Schizosaccharomyces pombe: one gene and its partners. The protein of the gene in region 3 purifies or fractionates together with the protein of the main gene of each other region. This does not show direct contact. Each region holds a gene or a part of one and is shown on either strand. Other genes may lie near its edges.

What was found.
Region 1: the proteins of coq12 (region 3) and SPOM_SPCC622.06C purify together in Schizosaccharomyces pombe (affinity purification with mass spectrometry, with the first as the bait; one study listed by BioGRID). This does not show direct contact.
Region 2: the proteins of coq12 (region 3) and mcp60 purify together in Schizosaccharomyces pombe (affinity purification with mass spectrometry, with the first as the bait; one study listed by BioGRID). This does not show direct contact.
Region 4: the proteins of coq12 (region 3) and ppk6 purify together in Schizosaccharomyces pombe (affinity purification with mass spectrometry, with the first as the bait; one study listed by BioGRID). This does not show direct contact.

What each region holds. Positions count from the first base shown.
Region 1 is NC_003421.2:1,405,469-1,412,565, forward strand, and holds SPOM_SPCC622.06C (uncharacterized protein), read right to left. Parts: upstream 3,863-7,097; 5' UTR 3,717-3,862; coding exon 3,348-3,716; 3' UTR 2,620-3,347; downstream 1-2,619. Other genes in the region: SPOM_SPCC622.03C (uncharacterized protein), read right to left, coding at 501-899; SPOM_SPCC622.04 (uncharacterized protein), read left to right, coding at 1,209-1,631; SPOM_SPCC622.07 (uncharacterized protein), read left to right, coding at 4,029-4,415; hta1 (histone H2A alpha), read right to left, coding at 6,056-6,454; histone H2B Htb1, read left to right, coding at 7,016-7,097.
Region 2 is NC_003424.3:337,455-346,052, reverse strand, and holds mcp60 (protein Mcp60), read left to right. Parts: upstream 1-3,955; 5' UTR 3,956-4,197; coding exon 4,198-5,946; 3' UTR 5,947-6,287; downstream 6,288-8,598. Other genes in the region: efg1 (rRNA-processing protein), read left to right, coding at 2-214; RNA-binding protein Cip2, read left to right, coding at 924-2,654; SAGA complex/transcription factor TFIID complex subunit Taf9, read right to left, coding at 7,170-7,661; rcl1 (rRNA processing protein), read right to left, coding at 8,534-8,598. UniProt on the Schizosaccharomyces pombe protein: May participate in assembly and/or disassembly of proteins imported into the mitochondrion. HSP60 are ATPases and have affinity for unfolded proteins.
Region 3 is NC_003424.3:3,879,254-3,887,351, forward strand, and holds coq12 (NADH-dependent flavin oxidoreductase), read left to right. Parts: upstream 1-3,161; 5' UTR 3,162-3,273; coding exon 3,274-4,008; 3' UTR 4,009-4,367; coding exon of another isoform or gene 4,368-4,838; 3' UTR 4,839-5,003; downstream 5,004-8,098. Other genes in the region: SPOM_SPAC1071.13 (uncharacterized protein), read left to right, coding at 2,092-2,409; protein tyrosine phosphatase Stp1, read right to left, coding at 4,368-4,838; SPOM_SPAC926.02 (uncharacterized protein), read left to right, coding at 5,291-5,434, 5,591-6,778; protein Ina22, read right to left, coding at 6,844-7,017. UniProt on the Schizosaccharomyces pombe protein: NADH-dependent flavin reductase that acts in the coenzyme Q biosynthetic pathway. Required for synthesis of the p-hydroxybenzoic acid (PHB) precursor to form a quinone backbone.
Region 4 is NC_003424.3:2,770,115-2,779,171, forward strand, and holds ppk6 (serine/threonine protein kinase Ppk6), read right to left. Parts: upstream 3,324-9,057; 5' UTR 3,100-3,323; coding exon 3,090-3,099; exon of another isoform or gene 3,043-3,089; coding exon 2,994-3,042; exon of another isoform or gene 2,899-2,993; coding exon 822-2,898; intron 782-821; coding exon 590-781; 3' UTR 501-589; downstream 1-500. Other genes in the region: telomere length regulator Rif1, read left to right, coding at 1-458; etf2 (electron transfer flavoprotein alpha subunit), read right to left, coding at 3,978-4,631, 4,704-4,814; tRNA 2'-O-methyltransferase Trm13, read right to left, coding at 5,226-5,969, 6,021-6,057, 6,137-6,462; nucleoporin, WD repeat Nup132, read left to right, coding at 7,257-7,440, 7,505-9,057.

The DNA of each region.
Region 1 (7,097 bases), on a different chromosome or scaffold from region 3:
TATTTTGTTTCAATTATGTTTTTGAAGTGCTTGTCTAATATAATAAGGAGAATGCCATAATCGGTGACATTGTGAGCCGAGTTTTTGAGGCAGACATGTAGAATAGATGATAATTTGTATTTTATTAATTAATCTGTGAATGATATATTAAATGAATTGAAGTTCAAAATGAAATATGAAGAGGTGTCGAAAATATAGGAATAGTACAAACCAGTATATCGAACAGTGCTCTAAATTTTGGAAGATGAGTTCGTTCAGGGTCGATGTATTCAACACACTTCCATTTCGCATTACGAGACAAGTTTATGAAACGAATACGTTTTAGATAAAAATAGTATTGAATTATTAAGTTAATTTTTAGATTAGTAGTGACTTAAATGTTGAATAAATATTAAAGGAGTAATAAGATTAAAGGCAGCGGAATGGAAACGAAATATTTTATAACAAAGTGAAACAGGCGTAAAGGAATAGGTGCCCAAAAGCGATATATGAAGGTGTTATTAATACCTCTGATATGGAGAAGAGTTGAATGTATCTTCTCTTGCTTTAAGATTCTCTTGAAAGTCCTCAACTTCACCTCGTCGAATTTCAACTGTCAGTTTACGAGAACCTATAAAGAGCATCGCAAGTACTATGAGTATGAGTAAAGCATTTACGACAGCATCGATCATAGCAATTACTTGAATAGCTGATGGAAAACCTTTAAAGATGAAAGTAAACACAAGAATGAAAAGACGGCAAGACACGATGAAGGAGATAAAAGACATAAACAAAAAGTCATAATTATCAGCTCGTTCCTTACCGGCTTCATACGTTTTCTTTTCAATTAGTTTTTTGTATGTGGCACCTTTAAGTAACGACTGGAGTTCCCATAGTTGAATGGATTTCTTTGGATTCATATTTTTGTGGGAGGCAAAACAGCTAGTTTGAACAAATCCGTTTAAAAACAAGAAAAATTGCGAAAAAATATTAATATGAAATAAAATGCTTAAAAGTCAAAGGATTTCGACAATCGTTGTTAATGAGTAATTGGAGCGCAAGACCAGAGGTTTAACGATTTTGATATTCAACCAATATATTCAATTTCTCTGCCTACACAATCCCGACCTAAATATTCTGTATTATTTGATAAATATTTATTCTTCTTATGCAAAAGCATTTTCATTTTCTGGCCAATATCTGCTAAATTTTGTGTTATATTTATCAACATGACACAACCTGACATTGAAATAGTTATCAAGGAGGATTTTACCTATAGGGAGTGTTCAGATGTTGCGAACGATGTGTTTAAAAAAACTCAATGGCTCTTGTACGTTTTCCTTTTCATAATTTTTGCCAATTGTGTTGTTGATGTTAAGTATTATTTTGAGGGATTTAGTCATTCATTATTATTCGTCTATTTTTTCTTGACTTTAATAATTCTTCTTGTAAGTTTTATGGGATTTCATTATTTGAATAGTATTCCTAAGCCGGAAGCTGAACCTGACTATCGAAAGAAGCAAGAGTCAAAGAATCAGGATTTCCTTAAAAGTCAATCTAATGAACCTTTAGAGTACGCCTCATCCTCTGCAGTTGAACTAGAAAAAGAAAAAAATACGCGAGAGGGCTTAACAATTCTTGAATCTAGTTAATTTTGTATCCATTTGGCATTTGCATCGACCTTGTTTTTGTTTTGTGTTATGTTTATAGGTTTATTATTTATATTCTTCCTTGGTGTGACAATTTTTTTTCTTTAAAACAAAAGAAATTAAAGAATTTGTATTTTATTTATTTTTCCATTTTGAACTACCATATTGAATGTATTCTCAAATTATTAGTATACAGGTGTAATGTCACTCATTTGAATGTAATCAGAAGAAAAGTTATTCTCTTGTTCAAGATCCCTTTGAAACTCCTCAACTTCTCCTCGTCGAATCTCAATTTGAGCTTTCGAGAATTATAGAATAGCAAGCTAACAACTGAGAATGAAATCTACTGTTAAATCTGACACATCTACTTTCACGGTTTTAAGAGACTTAAAGCCATCAGACATAATTGCTATCATAATGAGTAAGCGGAAATCCACGTAGCATAGTCCAGGAAGAAATCCAAACCATAAATAGTTTTCGTGATGTCCCTTTGAAATTTCATCTGATTTTTTCTCAATCAGTTTTTCGTACGCAGTACCTCAATGCAGCGACTGGAATTCGTACAGTTTAATGGATTCACTTGGACTCATCATATATGATACAAGCAAAATAGCCACGTCAACAAAGTTCTTCTAATGTCTGAAAATCAATTCAGTTATCAGATTGAAATATTGCTATCAATTCAAGTCGAATAATAGGAAAATCTTTCTCTGTGGTTGATGATTTAAATATTTAAACCAGACCAGGGGTTTCACAATTTAGTTAAGAGTTACATTTACGGACTTTTCTTTCCACAAACCTCACTTTTTACTGTTTTATTTTTTGAATTTTGCTGGACATTTTTTTAAATAGCTTCCATTTCTTGCTAAACTTGTTTAAGTATTCATTTGTATTCGTTTTAATTGATAGAGGCATTGAACGTTGAGTCGAAATGAAGGAGTTAATCTATAAACCGCGTTCACAATTTTTGCCAATATTTTTACTTGGTCTTTGAACGTTCTATTTTTCTTGTTTCTTGTGACACGTGCCGTTCACATTGCATTTTAACTAAGAAACATGGCCACAGTATGGCCGTTCTAAAGATGATGCTCCTAAGATTGATCAAAAGTAAAGAACATTGTTATACTATGGTTATCTCTTTTGCAGTGTTATCCATCCACTATGCTTGTGAATGCTTTTTGTATCCTAAATTGTTTGATTCTCAGCGCTCTCCTTCACCTTTTTTACGTTGGTTGTTTTCAGTTCTAGGTGTTTTAATGTCTATGGATGTGTTTTGTATTTTATACGCCTATCCAAGTGTTTATTTACACTATGTAAGCGAAGAACCTAAAAAAAAATTAGAGAATCCAGTCTCAGCAATTAAAATCGAAATGAAATTTCATGAAGTCATACTTTCTTCCTATAAATGGATGTAAATAATTTTTCGTAAAGGAAGTATATTCATCGTAAATCTTAATTTTCTATTTCGCTTGTCATTCGATGTCGATTTTGTTTTCCCTACGAGTCAAATGTCAATCTCAACTAGATGGTTTAAGAATTAAACACCCTCTAATTCCTCCCTTCCTTTTCTTGATGTTGAAATTTCTTTCTCATTACTACAATTCATAAACTCCTATCAACTAGAGAGAATTGCGGTTGATAAGTTTTTCAAAGGTTAGCAAAACGGTATATGCATAAAGTCCCATATACAATTCAAATATAAAAAATTAATTGTTCTTTTCATCGTTGATTTCGTTCCAAATTTGCTCGATAGTCTTCCACTTCACCTCGTCGAATCTCAACGTTGAGCTTGCGAGAACTGAAGTAAAGTATGACTATAATACACACTAAAGCTATGCTGTTTATGATAGCATCGGCTACAGCAGGCAGTTCACAGTACGTATTTTTGTTGAAGAGACTTATAAAGAATATGATCATTCGACTTATAACAAAAGAGAAAATAAATAAAGTAATAATAATTGGTAAAATACCATCATTACTCCGATATTTAATAGCTTCATATGTTTTTTTATTAATTAACTCTTCATATGCTTCGTCCTGAAGCAGCGACTGGAATTCTTGCAACTCGATGGATTCCTTTGGGCTCATATCTTTCGTCTAACAAAACGCAGTTAATTGAACACTTTTAAATCACGAAATTTGAAAATATAAGAAAAATGGATTTTTCAGTAGCTGAAAACTTAATTTAATTGAATTTCATTATTTGTGGTTAATAGATTGTGCACGCAGTAGTTAGCAGGGGTTTGAAGAGAAGTTAGCCTTTTCAATCTCACTGTTCGGGAAAGGCATTTCATTTTCCTATGTCTATTGTTGACTCAAGATTGGTAAATGTTTACAATTAAGAATAAAGTTTAATTTCCAATAGCTGAATTTGCATCTTTCTTTCTCTTTCGTTTCGATATGGCGTCCTTGGACATTCATTTATATGTGAAGAAGGATTTAACCTACGGAGAGTGTGTAAGGGTCGCAAAAGAAAAGTATAAGATAATTCACCGGCTTCTATATATTTCTATTATTTTCCTTTTCCTCAATTACGTTGTCGACATTGTGTGTTATGTAAAAAATTACAATGGTTTTTCTTTTTTTTGTTGGGTTTTTTTGAATCTTGGCGTTATAGGTATAATAATAACGGTGATTATCTATTATATTTCTATTCCTAAACCAGATGCTGAGTCTGAGTTTTTAAACAAACCAGACTCATTGAACCAGAACGTTGGTGAAAGTCAATCTAATGAACCTCCAAAGTACACTTCAACCTTTATGGATGAGCTTGATAAACAGGATTAAAGGAGTACAAAAATGGTTAGTCAATTGATCTGAAGCGCAATGATCAACCTTTGGTAAAGCCAAATCCTTTTACTGTTGAAGTTTATCGCTAAATTTTTGCTAGACTTAACAAACTTCAATTCTTCGTACCTTTTTACTAATATATTTAATTCATTTTAAAAATAATTCAAACACTTTTGTTTAACGGAATCAACGGCATCGTCAGCTGGTTGTATCGGTAGTGTCAAATAGTTTTCCTATGTTTGTAATGAAATTTTTTGTTTTTTAATTCTGTACTTCTGTAACAATTGTAATTGTTCTATGGCTATTTTTTTCCCGTATAATAATCTGAAATTTTTGCCAGAATATATTCTCAATATTTTGGAATTTTTTTACTATTTTACAATCCAACAAACTCGAATTTTACGATAAATGCTTTTCTAAGAGCCATGCAAAAATTTTATTATAATGTTTTAATATTTTTTGATATAATATAAAAATAATAAACTGCAATGGCTATTTATTGACTGATATTAGTATTATAATTTTCATACAACTATAAAAATACATTGGCAAAAAAGAAAAAATATTGAAAAATCCTAAATAGATACGATGAAATCGATTTCTAACAAAAATTAAAATTAAAATAAAAAACTAAGAAAAAAAAAAAAAATCAAACAGTTACATAAGAACCTAGCTATTTTTTTCCAAACTCCTTCCTATTTATTGTATTCTTTTCAAACATATAAAGAGACGTACAGCAATCACTATCCATAAATAACGATAAAAGCAGCATTATGGGTAAATGAATTTGTGAAATTCACCAACTTGCCAAAAATTGCTTACATATTCTCGTTAACTGGCTTTACCGGTTCCGGGTACAATTCATTAACCAATCGGTTGGACGTAATGACTAAATAGCCCATAAGAAATATAGACAGAAAAAAAGGGAAAATAAACGTGAAAATTACCAAATCTAAGCATTCTCAATTTATGAAATGCTTGGTCTTTTAGTTGGAATTGTGCTGTACTGGTGCGACCGAGCTTCGAAATCGGCGAAGGAAAAAACTCAAAAGAAGCAAACGTCTACCGTTTCACGAAAGAAGAGTAAAAAAACTGCATCGAAAAAAAATTCTGGAAATTCAAAAGCATTAATTGTAAAAAAAAATTAAGTACTATTCTTTTGCATGTACTGCTCGATTCAATGTTTAATGACACTCCTTTCATCAATCTGTTCATCTCCACTCTACAATCTATTTATTCATTTGATACATACTCTCATATAGGATTTTGAAAAATATACTCATTACTATACAATATTATAATTAAGGGAGAATAAAAAAGAAATAAAAAAAACCAAAGGAGCCAGTTCAAGTAGGAATTACTTGTGCAAAAGCCCTTCAAGTACTAGTAAAAGTAACTAGTAGAGAATGACTTGGCTGCATCTAAAACATCCTTAAAGTTCAGGCATAACGAAAACAATAACAGCAAAGAAAAAGAAAGACGCAAAAAGTTCAAAAGGAAAAAGAACCAAACATGGTTTAGAAGCGAGAAACAACCAAAAAAAGTATTGCGGGGTTGTAAAAAAAGAAAGGTCCTTTACAACTTTTCAATGTCTTTCCCTTCATCCTCTTTCAAAATGTTTTACTTGACGACTGACTTTACAGCTCCTGACTAGGCTTTCCAGTGCGACCAGAAGTTTTGGGCAAAAGATGGGCGTTGATGTTGGGAACAACACCACCTTGAGCAATGGTAACGTGACCAAGAAGTTTGTTCAACTCTTCATCGTTACGGATGGCGAGTTGAAGATGACGGGGAATGATACGAGTCTTCTTGTTGTCACGAGCAGCGTTTCCAGCCAATTCGAGAATTTCAGCAGCCAAATATTCCAAAACGGCGGCCAAGTAAACGGGAGCACCAGCACCAACACGTTGAGCATAGTTACCCTTACGTAACAAACGATGGACACGACCAACGGGGAAAGCCAAACCGGCCTTGGCAGAACGGGATTGAGCAGATTTGGCAACAGCAGCCTTACCACCAGATTTACCTCCAGACATGACGAAAAATACTGAAACTAAATAAAAAAAATAAAAGTTTGAGTTAAAAAAAAAAGATTTTTCCTTCTTTAATGAAAAAAGATAACAGTCAACGATGAAGCAGCGAATGGATCAAATTTGGTGAAATTAACAGAATTTTCTCGCAATTTCAGCCTTTACGGACAATCAATCTCCTTATCAACTAAGGATCAATTGTTTATATCAATTTCAATACGTGTATGGATCAAAAGGTATCCTAAACAACGAAAAGTCGCGATATAGGGAAAAGGAGACATAGGAGCGCGCACCCTTCATATATATACTAATTCTAATCTTCCGTATAAGCACGTCTAACGCGTTCTTGTAGATGACGTTTCCGCGTCGCATGGCTAAACACCAGGGTTAGGGTTGTGATGCCCAAGTTGTATATAACCATCGCGTCGCCTGCAGGCATGTTAGTTAATACCAACAACTTGATATTGCACGAAAGTTTAGGATTATCAAATTCCTACAATTGCAATTACTTAGTTCAGTCCATCAATTTTGAGATTCTCTCGACAACCAATTTTTAAATCGTAAAAAATGTCTGCTGCTGAAAAGAAACCCGCTTCCAAGGCTCCCGCCGGTAAGGCTCCTAGGGATACCATGAAGTCTGCTGATAAGA
Region 2 (8,598 bases), 3.5 Mb from region 3:
GGAATACCCCCCTTTAACAAAGTATGTTTCACTCTACGCAGAAGGCACATCTGAACAGACCGAAGAAACTCGAAATCGCATTTGGGCCGAGATGGAAGAACGCTTTAATAGTGGCAGAAAACACAAAATACCATCTTCAGGTTCCAACAGGGTTCCTGTACAGGAAAAAAGTTCAACTGGTGGTGATTTGGAAGATGAATTTTTGCAAAGATAAATGAAAACTTGGATTGAGGTTTTGGAAATAAAGGGATTAAATAGACGAAACTGTAATAATATGATTCATTCTTTTTAATAAAGGTTGTGAAGTTTCCATATGAGTTATCGAGCAAGGTATTCTTTTTATGCAAGTTTATTTAAATTTTTTCTATGTCATATTGCAATGGGATTTGCTAGGGTACCAAAAATAGAACTTGTGGGAGAGAAGCTTTTGGATCCTAAGGTTCACTGAAGATATTTTTCACATATTTCATTCTATAATCTAATATGCTAAAATTCGAATGATATTTCATGGAATATCAAATTAATAAAAATATAAATTTACAAGAATTTAAGTAAAAACAAAAAATTAGGACTTTCATTTTGTTCTGTTTTAGGTGGTCGAATTATTAGACAGTTTAATAGTCTTTATCATTGCAGCAGTGTTTTTAAGAGCTCTTAGATGGACTTTCGGTTTTATCATCACAGTACCCTGTTATTTGCCTGGCAAAAAGTTACCTAGTGGGGGTTTAAAAATCAACACCAGTATGTAGTATATACATTTTATAATAATTATTTTTACATTTGCTTCTATAGATTGGTATATTTGAATTTATGGGTTTAAGACCTCAATAATATGGTGTAGTATATTGACTTTGCGCCCTTGGTGGTGTCCACGGATACCTAACCTCCGCACCACACGAAGTTACGACTTGTTTAGTGTCGATATGGCTGAGGGCACAAGCCAAAGGCCATTAACGCCTTTGTCGCAGGCATTTTTGTCAACTAATACTCTTTCTCCTGCTTCTTCCCCTTTAACTTTCCATTCTGAGGCTGCATCTCTGCGTAGAAAACGGTCCAACTTTTTCCCCAAATTAGATGAATTAAATGGAGCTCAAGATGAAGAAATGAGAGGTCTTAATATTCCTGGAGGATCAGGATATCTCGAGAACCGATATGGTCGTGATAAGTTTACGTTTTCTGATGCAGCCGTTAACAGTGCTGGAATGGGAGGGTCTGGCATATTTTCCCACAACAATGCAGATGATGGTTTGGGTGATGGTTCTTCTACGGTTTTACCAAGTTCCCTTAAACAAATGCTGGATCCTGAAATTTCAACTGCCAATAATCCATCTGCAAAGCCTCGTCGAACTCGTCTTCAAACTGCTTGGAAAGAAGCAACTAATTCAGCAGGCCTTTCTCTCCGGTCTGCAAGTGCTTTAGATGTACTCAAAAATTCTGGACCTGCTACTACCTCATTACTTTCCTCAACAACATACCCTTTTGATAGTTTAAATGCATTCAACGAACCATCCCATTCACATGTACCAAACTCAGCTTCTAGCACTGCTCTGTCTAGAGGTATGAGCAACTCTGTAACTTTGACGGCACCCCCTGAACCTGATGAAGAGACCATTCCTACCGCGATTGTTATTAAAAATATTCCATTCTCCTTGAAGAAAGAAGTGTTGTTTAAAGTGTTCACTGCATTAGACATCCCACGTCCATACGCTTTTAATTATCATTTTGATAACGGAGTTTTTAGGGGCCTTGCCTTTGCTAATTTCCATTCTCCAGAGGAAGCCAAAACGGTTGTGCAAGTTTTGAATGGCTATGAAATTACTGGTCGTCGTCTTCGTGTTGAATGGAAGCGTCAACTACCGCCTGCGGAGCGTGAACGTGTTGAGCGTGGTAAACAAGAGAAACGCGCTGTAGAAGAACGAAAAAATCAATTGAAATCTCCGTTTTCTGTTGCCAATATAGGTGCTGGCATTGATTTTGATTTGAATGATCCAGCTATACTCAATGTATATTCTCATATCTTGTTATTTTATTATCGCAGCGATAACACTAATGATCTTGTATTTGATTCTTCAACCACCCAGGAAGAACGTCGGGTTGCTGCCTTATTAGCTTCCCGTCTCAATCTCAATCATTCAGTTACTGGTGACGGTGAAGCTAAGCAAGTGGTTATTACCATGCCTAGTACTCATTTTACTCCCGCTAATAATTCGAGTGCTAACCACTCTCCTTTGATGGCCCCAAACGCCAGTACTTTAAATCCTTCTTCTTTAGGTGCTTCCAATTTGAGCCAACCAAGTCTTGCAAATCACTTGAGCTCCTCTGGTTTATTTGACAATGGTCTTTTCTCGTCCGGTGGTCTTTCTAGTAATTTTTCAAGTCTTAGACGACCCGCTCCCTCTATGCATCTTGCGGATAGCATACGTTCTCTCAGAGGACTAAATGATTCTAAAGCCTTTTCCGACATACGTAGTATGCCAGCTACTCCGTTAGAACTTGCTACTCCTTTTGCTAATTTAAATGTTTCCTCTCCACTGGATCGCAATGCGACTAATTCATCAAATACTTTAAACGGTAGTGCGATGAACGATTATTTTGCAAGCCTTACTCCATCAAACACCGGTGCTATTGGATCCAGAACTTTTACAAAGAATTAGTCTTGGATTTTTTGTTTTTCCCTGCTTTTGATTAATCTTGTTTTGGCTATGTCTCGGGTTTTATTAAGTTTCATTTACCTTACGATAATAAGCGCTTTCAAGCAAATTTATACTTTGTACATAAAAACGACGAGTGAAATTATCTCAATGAATTATCCATTTTTACGACCTAGTGTTCAATTGAGGACATGATTTTCATGCTTATATCGTTTACATACTCACTTCGGATGTGCATGTGATCGGGCTCATGCTTTTAAACTATAATGTGATTCTTGTAAAACGAAAAGGATTTAATTTAATAGATGATATTTTTCTCTCTTCAAAGTCACGTTTATGATTATTTTGAGAGGAATAAAATGGAATTTTCTTTTGTGAGATTTTTTTAAACTTTTGTATCGCAAATCCGGTTTGACGATTCGTATACTGGGATACGATGCTTGAGCTATACAGCAAAAGTCTCAAATAAAATTTACGATAACCGATCTTACGTGGGATGTTAATGGTGTTATTTGCAATAATTTGTTGTTTTGATTGTGTTTTGTTCTTATGTGTAGGACCTTTCGTTACTATCAATACCTTTTCAATTTCTATATCTCATATGTTTTGTACGGACCCAGCTTGTTCACGTTAGTGTCACTCGGTTTTTAACTATTACGAATGATGGCTTCATTTTAATGGCTGTTTGGCTAATTGTGCCTAAATTCTTTTCCGTGTTATTGATTTGATAATGTGTTAAAGAATTCAATTTCGATTATGAGAGTTCGGTTGTCATTTGTATGATTTTTTTCGTCAAGATATGATTGCACTATTTTTTTTTTGTTATTATTATTTTTTTTCGCACTGTTTTTAGTGGATACTTGATGATTTTGTCTAAACGTATCTCGTATCTGCTGTATCGTTTAGTATTACTTTTTAAATAAGTATAGAACATTTACGACTTTTTAATTTGATAAATTGAGTTGATCTTTCTTATTTGAATAATCACGAAGAAACGGCACATTGACCATAGTCGAGCACCGCATTTTTTTTAGAGGTTTTAATGACTGTAAATCGACTAAATGAAAACGCTCCCCGTTCTTGCTCTATATGTTTTAATTTTTTAGAAGCCGTTTAGCGATAAACAATGCAATACACTATTTTTCGATATTTTTCTTCAAGAAGCTACCAAACCTATTCTTAAAATTTGGTCGCTTTTCTATTGGCTATTTGCCGGCATGTCAATCTTTATCCCATCAAAGTTCTTTCTAGAATATCAGGCAGTCACAGTATATATAATGTCTATTATAGCTAACTTATCGTCTGCCTAGCCTTGTTTGGAATTTCATTAAGCGGAAAATAGTGAAGAGTATTTCACGTATTTTAAAACCAATAATATATCTAAAAGCTGCAAGCATTTATTTTTGCAGGGACAGCTAGCTGGTTATATTCCTAACGTGTGGGTTGTATTTGCGTTAGATAACTTTACATTTCTTTATATCTCTTTTTGGGTGCATTAAAAAAAACCATTTTTTACAACTTCATTTTATTTCATTAATTAAACATAATGGTGAGCTTCCTTTCTTCCAGTGTATCTCGTCTACCTTTAAGAATTGCTGGTCGTCGAATCCCCGGCAGATTTGCCGTCCCTCAAGTTCGTACATATGCTAAAGACTTAAAATTTGGTGTTGATGCTCGCGCATCTTTACTCACCGGTGTCGATACTCTTGCTCGTGCCGTATCTGTAACTTTGGGACCAAAGGGCCGTAATGTCTTGATTGACCAACCTTTTGGTTCCCCTAAAATCACTAAGGACGGTGTAACTGTCGCCCGTAGTGTAAGTTTGAAAGATAAATTCGAAAACCTTGGTGCAAGACTAGTTCAGGATGTTGCAAGCAAGACTAATGAAGTTGCTGGTGATGGTACCACTACTGCTACTGTTTTAACTCGTGCCATCTTTTCTGAGACTGTTCGTAACGTGGCTGCCGGTTGCAACCCTATGGACCTTCGCCGGGGAATTCAACTTGCTGTTGATAACGTCGTCGAATTTTTGCAAGCCAATAAGCGTGATATTACTACTTCTGAAGAGATTTCCCAAGTCGCTACCATCTCTGCTAACGGTGACACTCATATCGGTGAGCTTCTTGCTAAAGCCATGGAACGTGTTGGTAAAGAAGGCGTTATCACCGTCAAAGAAGGGCGCACAATAAGCGACGAATTAGAGGTTACTGAGGGTATGAAGTTTGATCGTGGTTACATTTCTCCTTACTTTATTACCGATGTCAAATCACAAAAGGTTGAATTTGAAAATCCTCTTATTCTTCTTTCTGAAAAGAAAGTGTCTGCTGTCCAAGACATTCTTCCCTCTTTGGAGCTTGCCGCTCAGCAGCGTCGTCCCTTAGTTATCATCGCAGAGGACGTTGATGGTGAAGCTTTGGCTGCTTGTATCTTAAACAAGCTTCGTGGGCAATTACAAGTTGTTGCTATTAAAGCCCCTGGCTTTGGTGACAACCGTCGTAATATGCTTGGAGATTTAGCCGTCTTGACTGATAGTGCCGTGTTCAATGATGAAATTGATGTTTCCATCGAAAAGGCTCAACCCCATCATTTGGGTAGCTGTGGCTCTGTAACTGTCACCAAGGAAGACACTATCATTATGAAAGGTGCTGGTGACCATGTTAAAGTTAACGACCGTTGTGAACAGATTCGTGGTGTCATGGCCGACCCTAATCTCACTGAATACGAAAAAGAAAAGCTTCAAGAGAGATTGGCCAAATTGAGCGGTGGTATTGCTGTTATTAAGGTTGGAGGCTCCAGTGAAGTTGAAGTCAACGAGAAGAAAGACCGTATTGTTGATGCATTGAATGCTGTTAAGGCTGCTGTTTCCGAGGGTGTTCTCCCAGGTGCTGGTACCTCTTTTGTTAAGGCTAGTCTTCGCTTAGGAGACATTCCTACAAATAACTTTGATCAAAAGCTTGGCGTCGAAATTGTTCGCAAAGCTATCACTCGTCCCGCTCAAACCATTCTTGAAAATGCTGGATTAGAGGGTAACTTGATTGTTGGTAAACTTAAGGAGCTTTATGGCAAGGAATTTAACATCGGTTATGATATTGCTAAGGATCGTTTTGTTGATTTAAATGAAATTGGTGTTTTGGATCCCCTAAAGGTCGTACGTACCGGTTTAGTTGATGCTAGTGGAGTCGCCTCATTAATGGGTACCACCGAATGTGCCATCGTCGATGCTCCTGAAGAGTCCAAGGCCCCTGCTGGTCCTCCCGGAATGGGTGGCATGGGTGGAATGCCCGGTATGATGTAAGGTATCAAAAAAATGCCGACGTGGTTTTTTAAATTTTTACAATTTATTAAAAGCTTATGATTATGATGATTTAAATCCATTCAGAGAAATTGGCTTTAATTTTGCATTATGTTGTTGACCTTCGTAAAATTCTTTAGTTTCAAAACTAGTTAATGGGTCATACTTCTGTTAATGGATACTTATTGTTTTGAAACTTTTCATTCGGCTATTCTCATATGGTTGCTAATTGTACAATCAAACTCCTGATTTTGTTTAATGAACATAATGTTTTACCTTGTGTTTATTACACATTATAATTTCACTCTTTTTACGAATGGTATGACTTTCGACTTAAATACCAAGTTTTCACTTTTGTGTTTTTGTAAGTTCTGAATTGTGTTTACGTAAAGCATCAAGTTTCTTTATATTTCCTATACAGGTTTGTGGTGAGCTTTGAAATGGTTGAAGTATGTGAGAGATAAATGATTTTGAAAATGATGAAAATAACGCGGATGAAATATATGTCCGAGAGCGCAAAAAATGTGTGGATATTTCCGTTGCCTTCCTTCTGATTCAAAATTATTATATAACTTATATATTTTTAGCTGTCGTGCGAGTATCCCTACTATATTCTTTTTAGGGGATCTGTATAGGTCATATAAAGAAAATTAAAATGCATGATATTATGTTATCACTAGTATTGTGGTAAATTGTATTTTCAAAGTTATGATGAGAGGCAATTGTAAGTAATAAAGAAACATTGGTGCGGTGTAAATTTTAAATGAGCCTAGTAGTTGAAGAAAGCTCTCGACGAGCTCATGCCAATTTCACAGCCTTACATGAATTACTCCAGTTTTTGTAACATTTTAAGAAAAAGCGCGCCGTCACTGATGTTGTTGCCGTCTCTTTCACTTTTTTCTATTCTATGTCGTACCATATATAAAAGATACAGTGTACAGTAATGTACAATATGAGCTGAATTTAAAAATGTTGTATACTTTTTTGCTCCATACACTGATTTCGTAGCAAATAAACAAATAAACAGGTACCTTATAACTGTAAACGATTTATTACCCACGCCCTGCTTTCGCAAGTTAAATAGGAAGTTCTGGAGGAACAAAATCATATAAATAAAACCATAATCATCTGCTGCAAAGATTCGTGAGCGCTTCAAAAATATTTACATATATCTAAATCATCAGCACTTCCCCGGCATTAGTAACAACTTTAAAAGGAAAATAAATTTATTCAGACTTCACAGAGAAGTCAAGTTTATCCTCCTCCATTCGTGAATCCGAGGAGTTCTCTTCCTTTGGTTGATTCTGTTGGGTTTCATTACTGACAATCCAGTTGGGTTGAGTTAAACAGTACTTCTCCGGTGGAAGACGAAACCCATAAGACGGCTGAATTTGGGGTAAAGGTTTTCGATTTCTCTCCATAGCAAGCTCTAGTAAAAATTCTTTTGGTGGAGGTCCAGTGAAGGAGTGATTGATTTGAGAAGCAACAGCTAAACGTACATCTTCTACAGAAATTGGAGCATTTTGCCCACGTGAATGTTCCGCATAAACCTGTGAATCCTGGATTAACTGCTGTGTATATCTATGTGCAAATGTTAACAACTGCAAAGGCACTGTTTGAGAGTATGATGGAACACCCAGAGAGCTAAGTATTAGATGAATCAGACGAACGTCCTTAGGTCCTTTTATAGATTCATCACTTATTCCTGGAGAACTCATGATTTATTAAATACTATAAGTATATGCGAAGACAAATACGACTCCCGTTATTTTTCTGTTTTACCACCCAAAAAGATTTATGGTCGTTGCGAGCGTTGCAAATTGTATCCACTCAGAAGTTAGCGTGAGTCCACTGCACACCACTAAATAGCTTGTTTCAGAAAGTTTACAACAATGCTATTTTACATATACATTACTAAATATTTCGAGTCATAAAAATTTATCTAAGCAAACTTTAATTTATGCAGAAGGAATGATTTCATTAAAGCAATTCCTATCAAAGTTGCTTTTAGTATCACCAATGTTAATAATTTAGAAGTTACATAAAATTTTAGTATAAGCAGCGTAAAGTAAAAACTCTCATTTAGTAAATAATAAAACGAACAGGATCATTCATACAAAATCAATGATGATACAAATTTACTAAAAATTGGCAGTGTTTTTTTTTTACAAAAGGACATGGAAAAAGGTTGAGATTTTCAAATGAGAAGAGCATCTAAGAACTAATTTTCTGAAAAAGAGGCATCGGGAAAGAAATATTAAAGCAGAATGAAGTAGAAACAGAACCAAGTAATTTAAAGGAAACCAAAAAAATTCAAACCATAATTGAAAATGAACATAACAAGACCGTTAAAACAACTGAGTCACAAAAACGTATTTAAATCTCTAAATATGTATGGTGCTTTTTTTTTATACTCATGTCGTAATTGCAATGGGAAGTTAATGGGTAATGAACTTCTTAGTACGATTAAAGAGTAAATATATATCAAAAAGACGTTCGTTCATTTTAAGTACCCGAACAATATGTTAAATGTAATGTTATGATGTTTAAGAAGAATAAACGAGCAAAGGACCCACTGATAAATGGTTTTCTATTGAATGCGGCGATTGACATTTAAATATCCTTTTCCTAAGCATGACATCTCCACCTGGCCTG
Region 3 (8,098 bases):
TCATCCGCTAGCTCCAGCATCAAGGCCACGAAATAATCATTCTGCCGCTATGCCATCCATCTGCCTTTGTTGGTGTTAGTTTCCTTTTCCTTTTCCTTCTTCCCTTGCCATGTAAACAAAAGACGTAGTATACATGCGTTCAATGTCATAAACACCGTCGCTCATTTTCCATTTACGTTTGCACAAAAAAAAAAAAAAGTACAATAAAAATTAAAAAAAAAAAAAAAGGTTTGACCCCCCAACGTAATCCCATCTCCTCTCATCCTATTCCATCTCATCCATCATCCATCCACCTCATCCCATTCTTCCCGCCCGACTCCAATTTCCAACATCATTCTTTGCATTTTTCTCCAACTTTACCCCATTGCCGCTGGCTTACGCTTGCTTACCTTGTTTTCAATACCCAACCACCTCATCCATCATCATCATTATTCTGCCTCCACCTGACTTGTCAATTTCCAGCCATTAATCGGCATTCGCACTTTTCGTCACACTCCCAAGTCATCAAACCAAATCTCATCGCCTCTTATTCTTCTTCATCTACTCGTCTTTTTCCATCTCCGCAAGGTTGCATGCTAAACGGAAAGGAACGTCAGAGTAAAAACATTGTATGGTAATTCATCCATCCATTCATTCATCTACTGCCTTTTTGCTGTTTGACATACGTTTTCTCTCTCATTTCTTCTTCTCCAAATTGCATGCTCTTACTACTCAAGCTATATCTATATCTCCTTTAATTAACCTTTTGCCTGTTTCACTGCCCTCCATCGGATTTTCTTGAGTCCATGCCATGTGCATTCCAATATCCAATCTACCTTAAACAAAATTGATTTCGAATAACGATTTGGAGTACACTCATTTCTATATCGCTTAACTGAACCGTACTGCACTTCTCAACCCTCCAGTGTACCGGATGGAAGGCAAATCTCAAATTTTTTTCATTCTCTTCTAATACCCAAGCATAGGTAAATCCTTCACTTCTGCCTTCTTAACGAGATTAAGCGATATTGCGCTACAGCTCTTTCGGTTCCATTGAATTCCCGTTCGGAATTTGGCTTATCTATAAAAGGCACTCATACCGGACACAATCACGACTTTTGTGTCACTTGCTTTATTAGGTAACATGGACTCAAATTTTTAGTGCTGTCTGGTATAGTGCACTACTCAACTGTTACGGCAGGAATGTCGCTGGATACACTTGTTCATACAAAGTGGATTTAGCGAGAATGACCGTCTTTTGTAAAGTAGCTGTTGACTTGTAAAGGTTAAAAAAAAAAAGGGTAAATAATATATAATGGATGATGGGCTGTAATGGGAAAATGGGAATGATGGGTTTGCTGAAAAGAATACGATTCTAAGTTCAGTAGTGTTACTGTAGGTTGAGATGTTGATTTTGGAAGAGTTGTTCATTATTTTGTAGGTTTTGTTACATATTCGTTTCTATGTTTACCTTTTTGTTCGTTGATATCAGTTATTGCAATTTTTTTAGCTTTTCATCTTTATCTTCATCAAACTTTCTTTTTGCTTATTTTCTTTTATGTTTATGCTAGTTATGAATCACACAATACTCTTTCTTTTTTATCCCTTTACCTATTATCTCCATCGGCCGCGTTGAAAGCGACACATTTCAAGTAATGATTGCTTTTTTTCTTGTTTCAATTTGAATCGCAAACTTACCACAGAGTGCTATTGCTCGCATCTCACTTCCATAACGTCTTCTACACGCTTATAGTCTTTCTGTCTTTGTTATACCTCAGCTCATTCCTTTTCCTTCATATGGTATCTTTAATTCTAATACTTTATTGCATAATATAACAAATTTATCTGCTATACTATTATAATATCCACATATGCCACAATAATCGCCTTCTTGATGTATACGAGACTTTGTATTCCATAAAGCGAAGAAAAAAAAAAAGAACGCTCTACTTTAAGTGGATCTCTGGGTCATTTCCATCTCCTCATGATTCATTATATCCTCAATGTTGCTGTGCGACAACCCTATCTGAACAAATAAGCTACACTTCATACAATCGTTAATCAATTTTATTCATTGCATTCCTAATGTAATTAAAAAAAAAAAATGAAGAAATGGGGCGATCCAATCATCTTTTCATTTTCATTCATTGGAAAAGTCGGTCTATTTTTTCTGGTAATAATAAAGTCTACCGTTTTTCTAATTTGTATGTGCGAACCAATTCATGGCAAAAAGTGCGCCATCTTGAATCACTCCATACGAATGCGTATATTGTGCCTTTGGAAATGCGCCTTATAATAATGAAAACAAGACAAACTTTCAAGGTGCATGGTATGAGAAAAAGGAAATATTATTGGAAAAACGACTACATGCGTGGAAAAAATAGAAATGGCAATTTGCCCACAAAAAAACATCAATCAAAAAAAATGTAAATAAGATAAACGATAATTTTCATTCAAATCTAATATGAAATAAATTTAATTATCAATACTTCAAGTAATTCATACAATATATATATATATTTTTTTTAATATTCTTTTTTTTTAAAATGAAATTTCCATGTTATACTAATTACAAATTCCAACTGTCCACGTTACGTTGGTTTATTTGTTTTAATTTTTACATTTATTTTATTTCTTATTTTTTTAAATTTTTTACTCAAGTATACATATACGCTGGTTCAACGTTCTAACTTTTACATAGATGCAGACTTTTTTTTTCTTTGGGTCAGTATCTTTAGTTATTCTGTTGCTACATATTTTGATAGTCAATGAATAGATGAATCAGGCTTTAAAATTAAATTTTTTCGTTTTCCTATAATTAATTCATTTCTCTACCACTACTCATCAGATTCGCTGATTGATTTGCATCTATCTTGTAAACAACAATTTTTCGGTAAAAGAATAGAAATTTGAATCCTTCTCTCATGTTTCCCTTAAATGTTTATTTTTTCAAGTTTCACATTAGCTTCTATGCACGAGTATAATTTCCCAATGAAAATGGAATGGTAAACAGTATCACAAAGTACACCACTGTCCTACAACCTCGTCCAACTTTCTTTATATCTTTATTGAACATAAAAGTTTGAAAGGTTGTATTGAATAATCAAATAAAGGGGTTTTATTTCCTCAATTTGAGTAGCACGAGTCACTTTTATATTCGCTGTCCACAGTTGGTCGATTTTATTACCAACACTAAAGGAGTTCATGACTATACTACCGCTTTCTGGTCGTTTGCCTTTTTTCCGTGCTTAAGTCAAATAATATTATATACTTAATAATTGTTTACATATTTTGATGTCAATCCGATTTACTCATTGTTTTACTTCTTCCTCATCATTGCCCTGCTACATACTTCGACATTTGCCTTTTTCAAATTTCAACCGCTATTCTACCGCTTCCCATGATAACGTTAATGCTTTTCGCCTTTTAATGCGTAGGTTCGCACAACCAGTTGTCATCATCACGAGTGGTTTTGCTGATGGTCATCGTGCTGGCATGACGGCCTCATCCTTTACGCCAGTTTCTCTGACGCCAAATCCAGTAATTTCATTCAATATAAAAATTCCCTCTCGTACAGCAAACGCCATCCAACAATCCAATCGAGTAATCGTTCATCTTCTGTCTAGTTCAATAAAGAAGCATTCCGAATGGGCTTCCTTACTTGCCAAACAAAAACATCAAATCAATCCTTTAATGAATTCAGAGAAAAACTCTACTTCTGTAGAGGATCTTCCAGGAAGCAATCGTACACAGCAAACATCTTCACATTCTCTTCTGCATCCCCTTCATCCAATCGATGTCAGTCTCAGTAAAGAAGGTCTTCCATGTCTTGTTGATAGCTTAGGGCTCTTGCACTGTTCAATAATTCATTCTTATCAAGTACAAGATCACATTCTTTTCGTTGCGAACGTTGAGCGTGTTGAACATGGCTCTAGCCCTTTAGAATCCAGCTCAGGCTTAGTTTATTATAATCGGAACTACTGCAGCACATCCCCGTTAAGCCCTATTATTGATTCTTTCGAAAGTTAATTCTTTTTTTGAGTTTGCTACTTATGCAAGTAATCATGCCTACTTTAAAAAATGATTCAGCCAGGAATGTTGGGTCCGTGTTCTCCATGCTATTTAATATTCTTTCTTTTATATTTTCATTAATTTATGTGTACTATGTATTTCTTTCTAGGGTATATAGCTAGAAAGACTTACGTAAAGAAAGGTTGTACGACTTTATTCAATTGTTTTTATTTTTTGATACAGTTTTTGTAAAATAGGCCAGTCAAAACGTACGCAACTAAAAATCAATATTTTAAATTCTAGAAGCATTTCTATCGTTGGATTTTTGGGCGAACTTAATACCTTTAAAAGCTGTACATTTTCTATTCAAACTTAAACTAAGCAATGGATTTGAGGAAATTTTGAGAAAAATCTACTAATTGGATATAGCAATCTCCAAAACCATCGCTTCCTCCATAATAAGGGTCATCAACGATTTTTGAAACTCCTGGACTAGCATATTCTCCAAAAAGCATGACTTTAGCACGGCTACCTTGAGGTTTAACACGATTAATGTTTCGCAAATTTGACGAATCCATTGCAAAAATGTAGTCAAAGTTTTTAAAATCAGACGTTGAAAGTTTCCTTGCCAAATGTTTGGTATGAATGCCATTCTTTTTAAGTACTTCGAGAGTTCGTGGATCAGGTCGATTTCCTACATGCCATGCACCAGTGCCACAGCTATCAATGGTGTCAAAACGTGCCTCGAGTCCAGCCTTTTCTACTTCATTTCGAAAAACTGCCTCAGCCATTGGACTTCTGCAAATGTTTCCCAAGCATACAAAAAGTACTTGAATATTCTTGGTCATAGTTTATAGTATATTCTTGGGATTTTTGATGAGTCAAAATTTCCTCTTCTATTTGTAATGTATAGATATTATAGAAGGTGTAAGTTTAAATGAAAGACAAGCGAATTTTTACCACAGTTAATTGGTAATAAAAAAGTTTGAACTTTTGGTAGGTGCACCTCCCGTTTTTAACAATATTGAAAAATACTAAAAAGTAACTACAATGTTTCCAAATATTTAAGGAATGTTGAATGTAAAACGAAAGTGATCGTATTTTCACGTTTCAAGGTAGTAGAGGAAAATGCAAAGACATGTCAAATTAGTGCAACCTCAATTGTCCATTACCAATTAATGTTGACTGTCACAATCTTTTATTTTTACTGATTACAATATATTGCATTTTATTTCTCATACATAACTTTTTTATTTTATTTTGTTTTAAGCATTTGCATACATTTTTTGGAATATCAGATATGAGTTTCTCTAGAAATCAAGTGCTAAAAGGACTAAAGACGAAAAAAGCCAAACCTAAGAAAAACCCGACTGTAGATGAACTCTTTGAAATAGCTATTGATCTAGAAGAAAGTGGGGATCGCTGGCGATTGGAACCTGCAAAGGTATGTACAAAGCTATAATGGTGAATTTCAAAAACGTTTGAACATGATCATTCATACGAATTGTAATATTAGTTTTGAGAAACAAATAGAATTTACGCTTTTTTGCGCCGAGTTCTCAATACTTGAGCACGTGAAATTAAAACTAACAAGCAATAGTGTTTAAGATTTTATCAAAAATCCCTTGAAACATATGATAGATATTTATTACAATGTCCGAATGATTTTGATGCTCGTTTTAATAAAGCAAGATTGCTACTCAATATGGCTACAAACTGCGATATGCTATACAAAGATTCACAAGTATGCCTCCAGAAAAGTATTGAGATGCATAAGCACGCCTTATTATTACAAGAGGCCCCAGATATTTGGTTCAACCTTGCGCAGGTTCATCTTAATTTGGCTGAGATTTGGGTGGATCTTGATCGCGAAGATTTGGCATATCCTGAAATCCAGCAAGCACTGCAATCCATTTCACATAGCATTGATTTACAAGAACGAGAAAGAATTGAATGGGAAAATACTATACAAACATCGTCGCAACAAAAATATGAAGAAATACCTGACATACAGGCTCGACGATTATACTTTATAGAAGCAGACAAAGAGGCATCGACATTAGTTACCGAAATTGCTTCTTTAGCATGCAGTTGCAAGTTACTTGAAGAATCAGATTTTGAGAAACTCTGTCAGATAATGCTACCGATTACGGAAAAACTCGATATATTAAAGCTAATGGACTGGTACTTGGCGAAAACCAAACGTTTAGTACTTGGTGGTAAAGAAAATGAGGTGGCATGGATTGATTTACTGCAAGTTTTTGACCATCAACTTAGCCAATTACCACAGCTAAACTTGCAAAACCCGTTGGATCCGAACTCGTCTGTTAAACCTTTGCATATTCAATTGCTGTGCGACAAAGCCGATGCATACATAGACTTTGCAGAGACGCTACTAGATTCCTGCGTATCTACAGAAGAAAGCGCATCTATTGAAATAATGACTAGAGCCTGGAATATGTTAGGAGTAGCTGCCAAAAGTTTAAAGATGGCTAACACTTACAATCCTAATCATGTAAGAATACTCATTTCTAGAGCTGACTTAGAGATTCAACGTGCAGCTATCCCCATCATGGTAGCTCAAAACTCCAAACTTGTGTTGTATAAAAATGCCAAAGTATTATACGAAAAAGCATTCCGTGATTATTCAACCAAAAAGACAACAAGAACGTTTGCGGAGATTGTCTTAAAGCATTATCAACTACAGAAATTGACCAACCCAGAAACGATTAAGATGCTGGACTCCTTAACTGAGGTTGCTCAAGAAGACATTCTCAATACCATTTAAAGAAACAGACGTTTCTTACTTAATTTGGCAGGCTAATTAGTGAATCCAATTATAAATATAAAGTTTTACTTTGTTTCATTACTTGTATCATCAAATTCATGTTTCGCTAGCCGAATTTTTGCATCGTATTGTTTCATACGCTCCAAATGATCTTGCTTCAGAGCATTCAGATGAAATGCTTCGCTACCGATGATGAGCCATAATAGCCCGAACGTATACGTTGATGACCAACGTAACATGGAAAAAATTGACTTTTAACTAAAAAAAACTGTTTCTAATATCTTTGGTGTGCAAGTTCAGACTCAGTATTTGGAGTAGCTGCTGTAATTAATCGATATAATATAAATCACAAATGATTGAGCCTTTTAAAGGCGTTGAACACTTAAGAATCAAAACTCCAAAATACCGAAAGACAAAGAGAAAAAGAAAATCAATATTTTTCGCTCGAAATAAGGATTACCATTAAGACAAGTTTTGACTGTACGGAACTGTGTAGGATAACGGTAAATCAATTTTCTGCAATGCTTTGATATTTATTGACTTTCATTAAATCTCTGTAAATCAGAATTTCTATTGTCTATCTAGTTTTGTCCATTAAATCAGAAATTATTCAGTTTCTATTATTGTTACTTTTTATTTATAATAAGGATTTGTTTAATTCAACCGAATAATGCTAGTTGGTTCTTAAAGTCATACTCCTTATTTCCTTCATTCCCAGCCTACTCAGTCTTTGCCCGCAAAAAGATATTTCAAGGCCTATTTGATTTAACTCATTTATTCAAATTTCACTTTTTGTTAACTGAGTTTTACTTTTGTTCAACCTTGACAGCTCAGCGAAATTAGTGTAAATAAATAAAATCAAAAGAAGCGCTAATTCAAGAGGCCTTTTTGATTCTACTTTTTACTGTGTATACAACTTATAAATGACATTATATCCTTGACAAATTTGCTTACGTTTGTTTCAACTTTTATTAACCCCTCGAAATTAAATTATTATTATGCTCATGGCATTGTTGATCAAACATTGAGATTTGATTAAGCATATAAAATAATAATCATAAGAAATAAAACACTATGATAAATATAATTCTTCTAAATGTATACTAAAAAAAAAAATCCTTGAGAGTTCGCCTTTTCTCTAATTTTAACGGCACCAAACGTGGGTCATTAAAGACTAACATCTCCTTTGTTCTCAGTATTCCATGCCTATGTTAAATTCTGAGACTTACCAAGAGCTTGAATATCAACAATCATAGGTTACTTCCTATATGTCTATTTATAGATTTTTTTACAACTAATTGTCAGATACATTTACTTAGA
Region 4 (9,057 bases), 1.1 Mb from region 3:
GTAAGAGCCAATCTTCCAACGTGAATAAGGAAGTTGCAATTAGCGAAGTGTCCGCAACCTTGGAAAATGTGGAAGTCATAGAACGACATGGGATTTCAGAACAGGGACAGAATCTGGACGAATCTGCTTGTGTACTTACTAATGAAAGTAGTTTGAGCCAAACTGAAATACCAGAGGAAAAAACCGAGAATGAAACAACTGCAGTTAACGGATTTGAAAATTCCAAGAAACGACAATTTTCGAGCTTACTTTCAGGGTCCATTGATACAAACAATGAATCCAACAAAGTTTCATCTGTAGAGTTTGATAAATCTGGTCCTCAAGACATTATACAATCAATGACGGAAGCCACTTTTGAAATCGAAAAGAATATACAAGATTTAAAATCGGAGGAAGTTCAGAAGCTTAGTGATTTGTTGATGAGATTACAGAGAGCTATTTTATCTAGAATTGCTTGATTATTCAACTCATGGGTACAGGAATTACGGACCGGCATTGGGGTCAATTTAGTCATAAATCAATCTTATTAATGGGGTTCATACTGGCATTTAATATATAACATATGTATATAGATAAGAACTTTCTAGTTTCAAGAGGATAGAGGTATGCGTATATGTGATGTGTCCAAATATCTTATATCATCAAACCAATGATGTTGTAACGTCTCTTCAATAGTAATGCGATCATGCACATTTCTATCAAGCATTCGACAAATTAAATCGACATTATCTTTCGATAGTTCAAAAGGAATTCTAAGTTTGGCGTCCAAAATCTCTTCGATCTAATAATTAGTTAGCATACCATTATAATAATTCTCTTACGTTATAATAAGGGTTTTCCCGATAAACTATCGTGTATAATAAAATACCCAAAGCCCAAATATCCTGTTCTTTACCGAGATATTTTTCACCTCTTAGTAGCTCCGGAGCAGCAAAACCAACTGTACCCCGAAATGTATCAAAAGGCCCGTTTTTCGTAAGGCTCGAACTACCGAAATCAATGAGTCTTGCACATCCGTTTCCTTCTAGAATTACGTTTTCATCTTTGATGTCTCGGTGGATTATGTCAAAAGAATGCAGATGGGCAACAGCTAATGCGATTTGGAAAAATATAGCCTTGCTCTCTTTCTCAGAAATCGATGGTTTTAATTCGATGTAATCAAACAAATCTATTCCAGGCTTTTGGGGCTCAGTTAACAAATAGTAGTTTTCATTGTCTTCAAAAAAAGTTATCATTTTTACGATGTTAGGGTGGGAATGAGCTTTCAAAAAATGAAGTATACTGATCTCCATAGGTACGGTTCCAAGATCTTTATCTCGCATCCATGAATCCAAAAGTATCCTACTTTTACTAATTGATTTCAAAATAACTTCATGAACCTTGTTAGATTTATAAGTTGCAAGTTTTACTTGACCATAAGCGCCTATTCCTAATTCCTTGATAGTTGTATAGCTTGCGATGTTGTGTGGTACAACCTCCCATTCCGAATCAACGTAATCTTCGTCTGCCGAAAGGTCTTCTTCTTCTTCACTCTCGTCAGAAATAACGACTTCTTCTAAGATCACAGAGGAGCGCATTGATCTTACGAAATCAGACGCACGATTATCCACTGAATCAAATATAAGCCATACTCCAAAAGCGGGCTCATTAGACTTAACAGAATGAGGTGAAACAGAAATAATCTGGCAATCAATTTGTATTATATTTCCATCCGAATGGATTAAATATGGATAGTCCGCTTTTTTCATTTTATCAGCTGTACAAGTACGATAAGCATGTCGAACGTGTATTTCGGAAACAACTCTACCAGGATCAAGTGCGTGACTATCCGCTAATTGCTGCAGAACCAATTTAAAATCCGGGAATATAAGGGATATATCTTTAGTTAAGAGGTCACTATAACCAAGCATTGATTCGAATAATGCCTCGTTTAAGGAAATGATTTTAAAATCAGAGTTTATAAATAGCAAGCCCGCTGCATAATGAAAAATAATATATTGAAATGAAGATTTGGAAAGGGGGTATATCATACTGGGACAATAGTAGCCTTCAGTCGTTTTTGTAGTTAGGTACAGACGCTGATCCCAGGTTTTTGGTAGTCTCGAAGGAAGAAGATCAGACGTTAAAGGCTGTTCAGTTCGTTCGTCGACGGCAACACCATCTTGTAACTTGATATCAATGTATGATTCTTCAACAAATTCCAAAATCCAAATTAATTTACCCTGTTTTTCTTTTACCCAAAAATCCATAAGGCGGACACCATCAACAGTAATAACAGGAAACACATCACCACAAAACAAGATTCTTTCATGTTCATTGTCTATTGGGAAAGAAACAATTAAATTAGAGAGATGTGAAGAAAATGATTTTGGAAAAATGTCAAAAACGCTATGCCGATTCAGCTGAGAACCGGCATATCCAAAAAGTAAACAGAAATAGTCATTGGCAGACCAAATACTGAATGTTGTGTTGCTGGTAGTGACAATAGCTTGAGAGGAGCAATGAACTGGCCAATTGCTGTGTTCTTTATGAGGAATAGGAACATACGATATATCGCTCAAAGACCTACGTTTTTCGGGATTAATGGTGAAAGGAGATCGATTTAGGCCGTCTCCCAAAGCTTCGGTGCTAATATAGTAGTTCCCGACAAGAGGTTCATTGGCATGCTGTAAATCATAGTCTGTCACAGATTCCCACAAATTTGCCCGCGAACTAGTATCTAAAGGGATATAACCGTCATTTGCATCTCTTGACAGAACCGGACTATAAGAAAACGAGTAAGGAGAACTACTAGAGAAAGTCAAAAGCTTAACTCGAGCAGCGTTACTTAATAAGTTCTTATTTTCCTTTTTAGGTAGAAACGATGCTAACGGTCTCTCAAAACTAGCTCCAAAAGATCTAAATCCATTAGCAAAAAGATTAAAAATATAAAAAAATAAATAATATTTTCACTCCCAATTTTAAATTTAAAAATTGGTAATCTTAAAACACACCTAGCTCGTGTACGTTGAACCTGCTTGCTGGTCAAATGTTTAAAGACGTCTGTTAAATTAAAGGTTAGTGCTGTTTTTGGACACAAAAAGACAAACCTTGAGACATCTAAAAATCAATTCCGTACACTATCCAGAAATAATTTCAGGAGGATAGGGTTCTGCTTGAGCTACTCAATTTCTTCTGCAAAATTTGTAGATTTCAGAAACACTTCTCTTCAGACGAAATCGCAAGCAAAATAAAGATTTTAGATAACATAGAAATCAAAAAGCATCAAAACCAATTGTAAATTGTAAGTTTCAACACGTCTATAAAAATGTTGGCAATGTGCTGGGTTGTCTATGTTGGTGAACTAAGTAGTATGACAACTTAAGGAAGCCAAACATTAAGGTTGAAGGGCTTAAAAAATCAATTTAATTGACTTGAATTTTTAAGGGAAAATTGATTTCTATTTAGCAATCAGTTCGATAGTCAAGAGGAAGGAGTTTTTGAAAACACCTAACTTGCATGATACCTGGCTAAATAGTGATGAAGGCTACTTGCGGTTGAGGAATTAGGCTTACTTTGGTGGCAGAGATTACGCTACAAACATTCATGAATAAAGTATAAAAACATAGATTTATATTCTAAATATTATAGAGTGGAAGAGGTTAAAATTTTATTGATTATGACAGATGTAACTCAATCAATGGTTGTTTAATAACGTTTGTACTGACGGGGCTTAAAAATAATATATGAATACCGATTCTACTGAAATAAACAAAGCAAATACAGAGGTGAATTGAAATTTACGAACGAGAACGAATATTTCGATGATCAAAGAATTTCTTTAACTTAACAAATATTCAAAGCGTTCAGTGTTCAAACAAAAACAAAAGAAAGAAATAACTTGTAAGGTTTATTTGTAATGGGAAACCTCTGCATATAAGAAAAGTGAGCATGAAATCTAGCAAATTTCAAGACGGTATTTACTTTACGAAAAAATCTTAGAGGGCGCCAAGTTCCTTTAATGTCTTAACCATTTCATCAACACTCTTTACCATTATGTTTTGTCTCTTTTGAACAGGCTCGGAGACTGAAACAGTCTGTAGTCTTTGATCAATTGTTACGCCTAGATCTTCGGGAGACATTTTGCCTAAAGGAGCCTTCCTTGCCTTCATAACTTTTGCCAAATTCGCGAATCTAGGAACATTAAGACGTAAATCGGTGGTAATAATGGCTGGAAGTGTACTACTTAAGGTTTCTTCACCGCCGTCAATTTCTCTTGTAACGATAACTTTGTCACCTTCAATACGGACTTTACTTGCGCTAGTGAATTGAGGCCATCCAAGCATAGCAGCCAGCATACCACCTGTTTGGTGTGCATCATCATCAATAGCTTGCTTGCCCAGCAAAACCAGATTACTTTTTTCCTTCTCGACTGTTGCCTTCAAAAGTTTGGCTACTGAAAGAGGTTCAAGTTCTTTTTCGCCAACATTTATAAGTGCTGCTCGGCCAATTCCTTTAGCAAGACACTGGCGAAGAATGGGCTCAGAAGAAGTTTGTCCTGCGGTCACTACTAAAGTGTCCTCAATTCTATTTTTCAAAGTTTCCTTCATCCTTATAGCCTCTTCTACAGCAATATCACAAAATGGATTAATCTTTTCACGATTAGTCAAATATAAATTGCGAATTACAGCAGTACTGAAATGATTACTCTCCTTTCAACATACACTCATTTTTTGCCCCGATAAATCAACAGCAGTCTTAGTGGCATTGATGCGAGGCTTTAACATATAGTCTAGAGTTCGCTTGACTCCTACTAAAATGCGAATTTTCGACATTTTTGCGATATTGCTATGCGGTGGTCAAAGACTGGAATTGAAGAAGGTAGAAAGTTGAATATGAAACCTTCATACATATTCCATATTATTTATTAATGTTGTTAATTTTATACTTTTTAAAAAAAATAGTTTTTATTATTTAAATATTGCACAATTTCCGAGTTTAACTAGTTAGGAAGTTTTTTAATTTTAAGTAAGAGGAAATAATGTCTATCAAAATTTACATATTCCAAACAATTCCAACTTCAAGAGAAATCATGATTGCTAAAAAAAAGTAAAATTTGCTTTAACTATCAGATTGCTATATGCAATCTCACACTTCAAAAAAGTACAAAATAATTCTAGTTTTTTTGAGTGCAATCTTTTCAAATTTAAAAAATTTTCTTACTTTTCTCACGTAAGGAAATTCACTTAGTTGATTCGTTTATAAGCGATGAGTGCAACATTTTCTAAAGTCGTTTCTTCACCAACGTAGTATACGAGAGAAGATTCATAACCCATTTTTTCGCATTCTAATTTTCTCATGTAATTGATAATATGCTTGCACTTCAACCCAATTTTTACGCGTTCCTCATGAGAAAGACCACTGATGTGTGAGTCGGCTCCTCCAGAAGCATGCATATGCTCACGCAAACTGTTTACAGCCCACCCAGTCATCTGTCGTAATATTTGAAACTCTTGTGGATTTGAAATTCCCCAATGACTTAATTGTTCTCTAGCAAAGGTTGAAAGTGTTCTCCATCGGCAATGATGATGACAACAAAGGGCAATTACAAGAGCATTAGGAGGGGAGGACTTTAAGCAATTCAAGGTAAGGTCTGTGGCAGCACCACATAAATGCTTAGAATATGCAAATACAGGTTTACCACTATTCCGAAATTCACTAGCAAAAAAATCGAGTTTCAAATCCTTAATATCAATTTTACACCTTATAATTTTTGGCTCAGGCCAGTTATTTTTGATGCTATCTTTTAATATCCTGCTATCATGCTTCGTTCGATTTGAATCACGATCAATAAGTATATATACGTTTTCTTGTTGGGAGCAGTGCTGAACATATCTTGATAACTCGGCTCTTCCAGCACCGAATTCGTAATATATAGATCCTTGGTTGTCAAAATAATGTAGTTTTTCCATATGTCCTAACAATGATGCCTAAAATGGTTAATGCTTTTGACTGCCGTTAAGAAATCATGTCGAACATACCTGCTGAATTGCATGCTTTTTTTTTGTACCCTCTTCACTGTTAAAAATGAAGTTAGTTTCTACTTTTGCAACCATCTTCTTAATAAAAAGCTAATGAGAAAGCACTTCGTACATACAGTCTTGCATTCATTGCCGGGTGAAACAACACCTTTTTTTGAGGAGTCGGTAAAGAATCACTAATTCTGTTGAACAAACAAATCCATTTTGACAACTCTTCCTTGCTTAAATCGACGATTTCAAAGGAGGAAGATTCTGAAGCATCTGTTGAAGTAGAGATATTTATGTCCTTCTTGTAATATGGATCGGTCCTTTCAACAGGACGCGCGTTACAACGCTTCAAATGATATTCTAAACGATGTCGCACAATTGTATGCTTGTGATCATATGGACAGGGGATTTGTTTTAATTCTTCCTGAGTAAAAATTTTTTTTATTCGTGCCATCAAGTTAGATAACTTTTTAACTCTTAAGTGATATTAGCCTGAATATTGATCACAAAAGTAAATCTTAAAATACAATAATTTTATTTTTCTTGTAAAATTTGGTCTTTTTCAGTCCTTCGGATAATTTACAACACTAATGAAAAATAGCTTTCCGATTCGGCAGTTCAGACACTTCAAAATAAAGTATTTTCGCGTTTTTCTCTTTATTACAGTTGTTTCCAACCCAGTCCCAAACTTTCTACTACTTTTATAGTTTTCTGTACCAGATGTGCGATTTTACGAAGAAATCTGATGTTTCCAACCATTGGCGTGCTCATAAAAAAAATTCAAATACGGAATCATGAAACATTTATATAAATTGATCATGCGTTCTAAAAAAGTAGTTTAAGCTTGACCTTGAAGAACGCAACTACTTTTTAAAAACCTCTGTTTTATACAACATTCCGGGAAAAGACAATATCCTAAGTATCACTTCCTTAAATATACCAAAGCAAAGAAATAATTAATTACAAAAGAGCAAACTGTGTTGACATTTGTGAAAAAAGTGTATATGACATATACACCGATTTTGAAATATTGATATATTGATTTTACTCTGAATTTCTTATCAGTAGCTTAACTATTTAATTCTGAGTAAAAAATAGGAGTCTAAGTAAAGTTCTTTTGATTTCAAACCCTTCTTTGTAGGAATCGTCGACATTCGTCCTTCTCAGAGCCATATTCTATCCCTAAGGGTATTAAGGAGTCAAATAGACGATAACCGCCAGTATCAGTACTGATATCGTCAAATAGTCATGAGTTCTATCCTTGGTAAAAGGAAAAATGAAGAAGTCGTATCTTTTAGCCCTTTGAAACGAATTTCTGTTGAGAAATCGCTTTTGGATAGCACTGCCTATAATAATTCATTGGATTGGCTCAGATCTAAAAATTTCAAGGTCTCGTGTCTACTTAAACATTTTAATTCTAAAATTATCAACGGTACGAAGCTTTTATTTCTTCACTGTGCGCATTACTAGGTAACTAACATCTCTATTCAATTTAGACCATCCTTTAAGTGGATCATGCTACACAGACATCGGTTATGCATTAATTAATTCCCGAAAAGCTTGCTTTATTTTGTCGTATCGTCAAAGCTTGGGAACAGCAGAACCTCCAACTATAACATTTCCGCTACCTGAAGAGGACTCAAATGGCTTTTCCGGGCAAAATGCCTTGACAGCCTTCGTCCCTTCTGATGCTTCTGACAAAGAACCTGGATTGCTGATTGTAATGCCTATCTCTGGTCGTATAGCATATTGGACTTCAATTGGGAATGCTCTCGCTCAATCTTATATATGTCCCCAGGGAATGGAAAGTTTGATAAAGTTACTCCCCAAAGAAAAATGTGAGCATTTATGTTGCTCAAACCCCATGAAGTTCATCATATCTACCAATTTTGGTCGTCTTTTTTCTGTTCAACTGCGCGATCCTGCAGGTCAACCTGACGTTTCTGTACAATTATTTGCTTCCGATATTAGTACTTTTTCTACTATTCTTCAGAAAATGAAGATTTTTAACTACCCTAGCATTCATATCATTGCTTTAAAATCCCCACCACTGTTCTCTCCATACCAACATCTTTTGTATGTCGCTGAGGCATCTGGTTTACTAGAGATATATGATTTGAAGTTGGAAAATAAGCTTGTTTCTGGTATGAATCTGTCTCCTATTTTTAAGCAGGTTTTGAGAGAAGGATGCCCCGATGCAAGCGGACTTGAGGTGTTAGACCTTACTATATGCCCCACAAACGGAAATCTAGTGAGTTTTTTAGTATGTTGGAAAAATTCTATTAATTACCGTTACATGATTATTTCTCTTGATTTTTCTGACATTTCCTCACCCTCGGTAATGAATATTCATCCATTGTATTCATTTTCTTCTAAATCTCTTGAGTCTTCAAAGCTACATTATTCATCATCAGGGAATTCTTTATTTGTGGTTTTAACAGACGCTGTTATTATAGTGCACGTCCAAGAGGATGATAAAGATATTGTATCGAGAACATCATGGGAAGAGGTTATTCGTATGAATACTAATGTCTCTGGCGGCATATTTATGTCTACTTGCTACAAATACGTTTTAGGAAAATACTCTATTCCTACGGAATCATGTTTTATAGCAACCCCTTATTCTGGTATCGCTGAAATAGAAGTTCATAGTTTGGAGCATCCTGCAAATAACGAATCTCTCGTAAAAAGCAAGTTGGAAGAAGCTGTTTTTTACTCCTTCCTTCCTGGTAATCCGATCGATTTTTCCTGCAATTACCTTCGCTCCATCAAAAAGCCTGAACTCGAAAGGATTATTGTCGATCTTGGAATGGACATCTTGAATTCAAGGTCTACTCATTTACCCCCATTATTTGCTTCTTTAATGCAGCATCTGTCCTGTAGGTTAAATTCTTTGAATAATCTTGTCCGGTATATTAGGTCTATGTCACTGGATGTTGATCGTCAAGTACTATACAAGTTGAGAGTAATGGGCGAAAAATGCAATTCTGTTAGATATTTATGGAATACTATCGATACTGAATTTAGTACTGTTAGTCATTCCCTAATT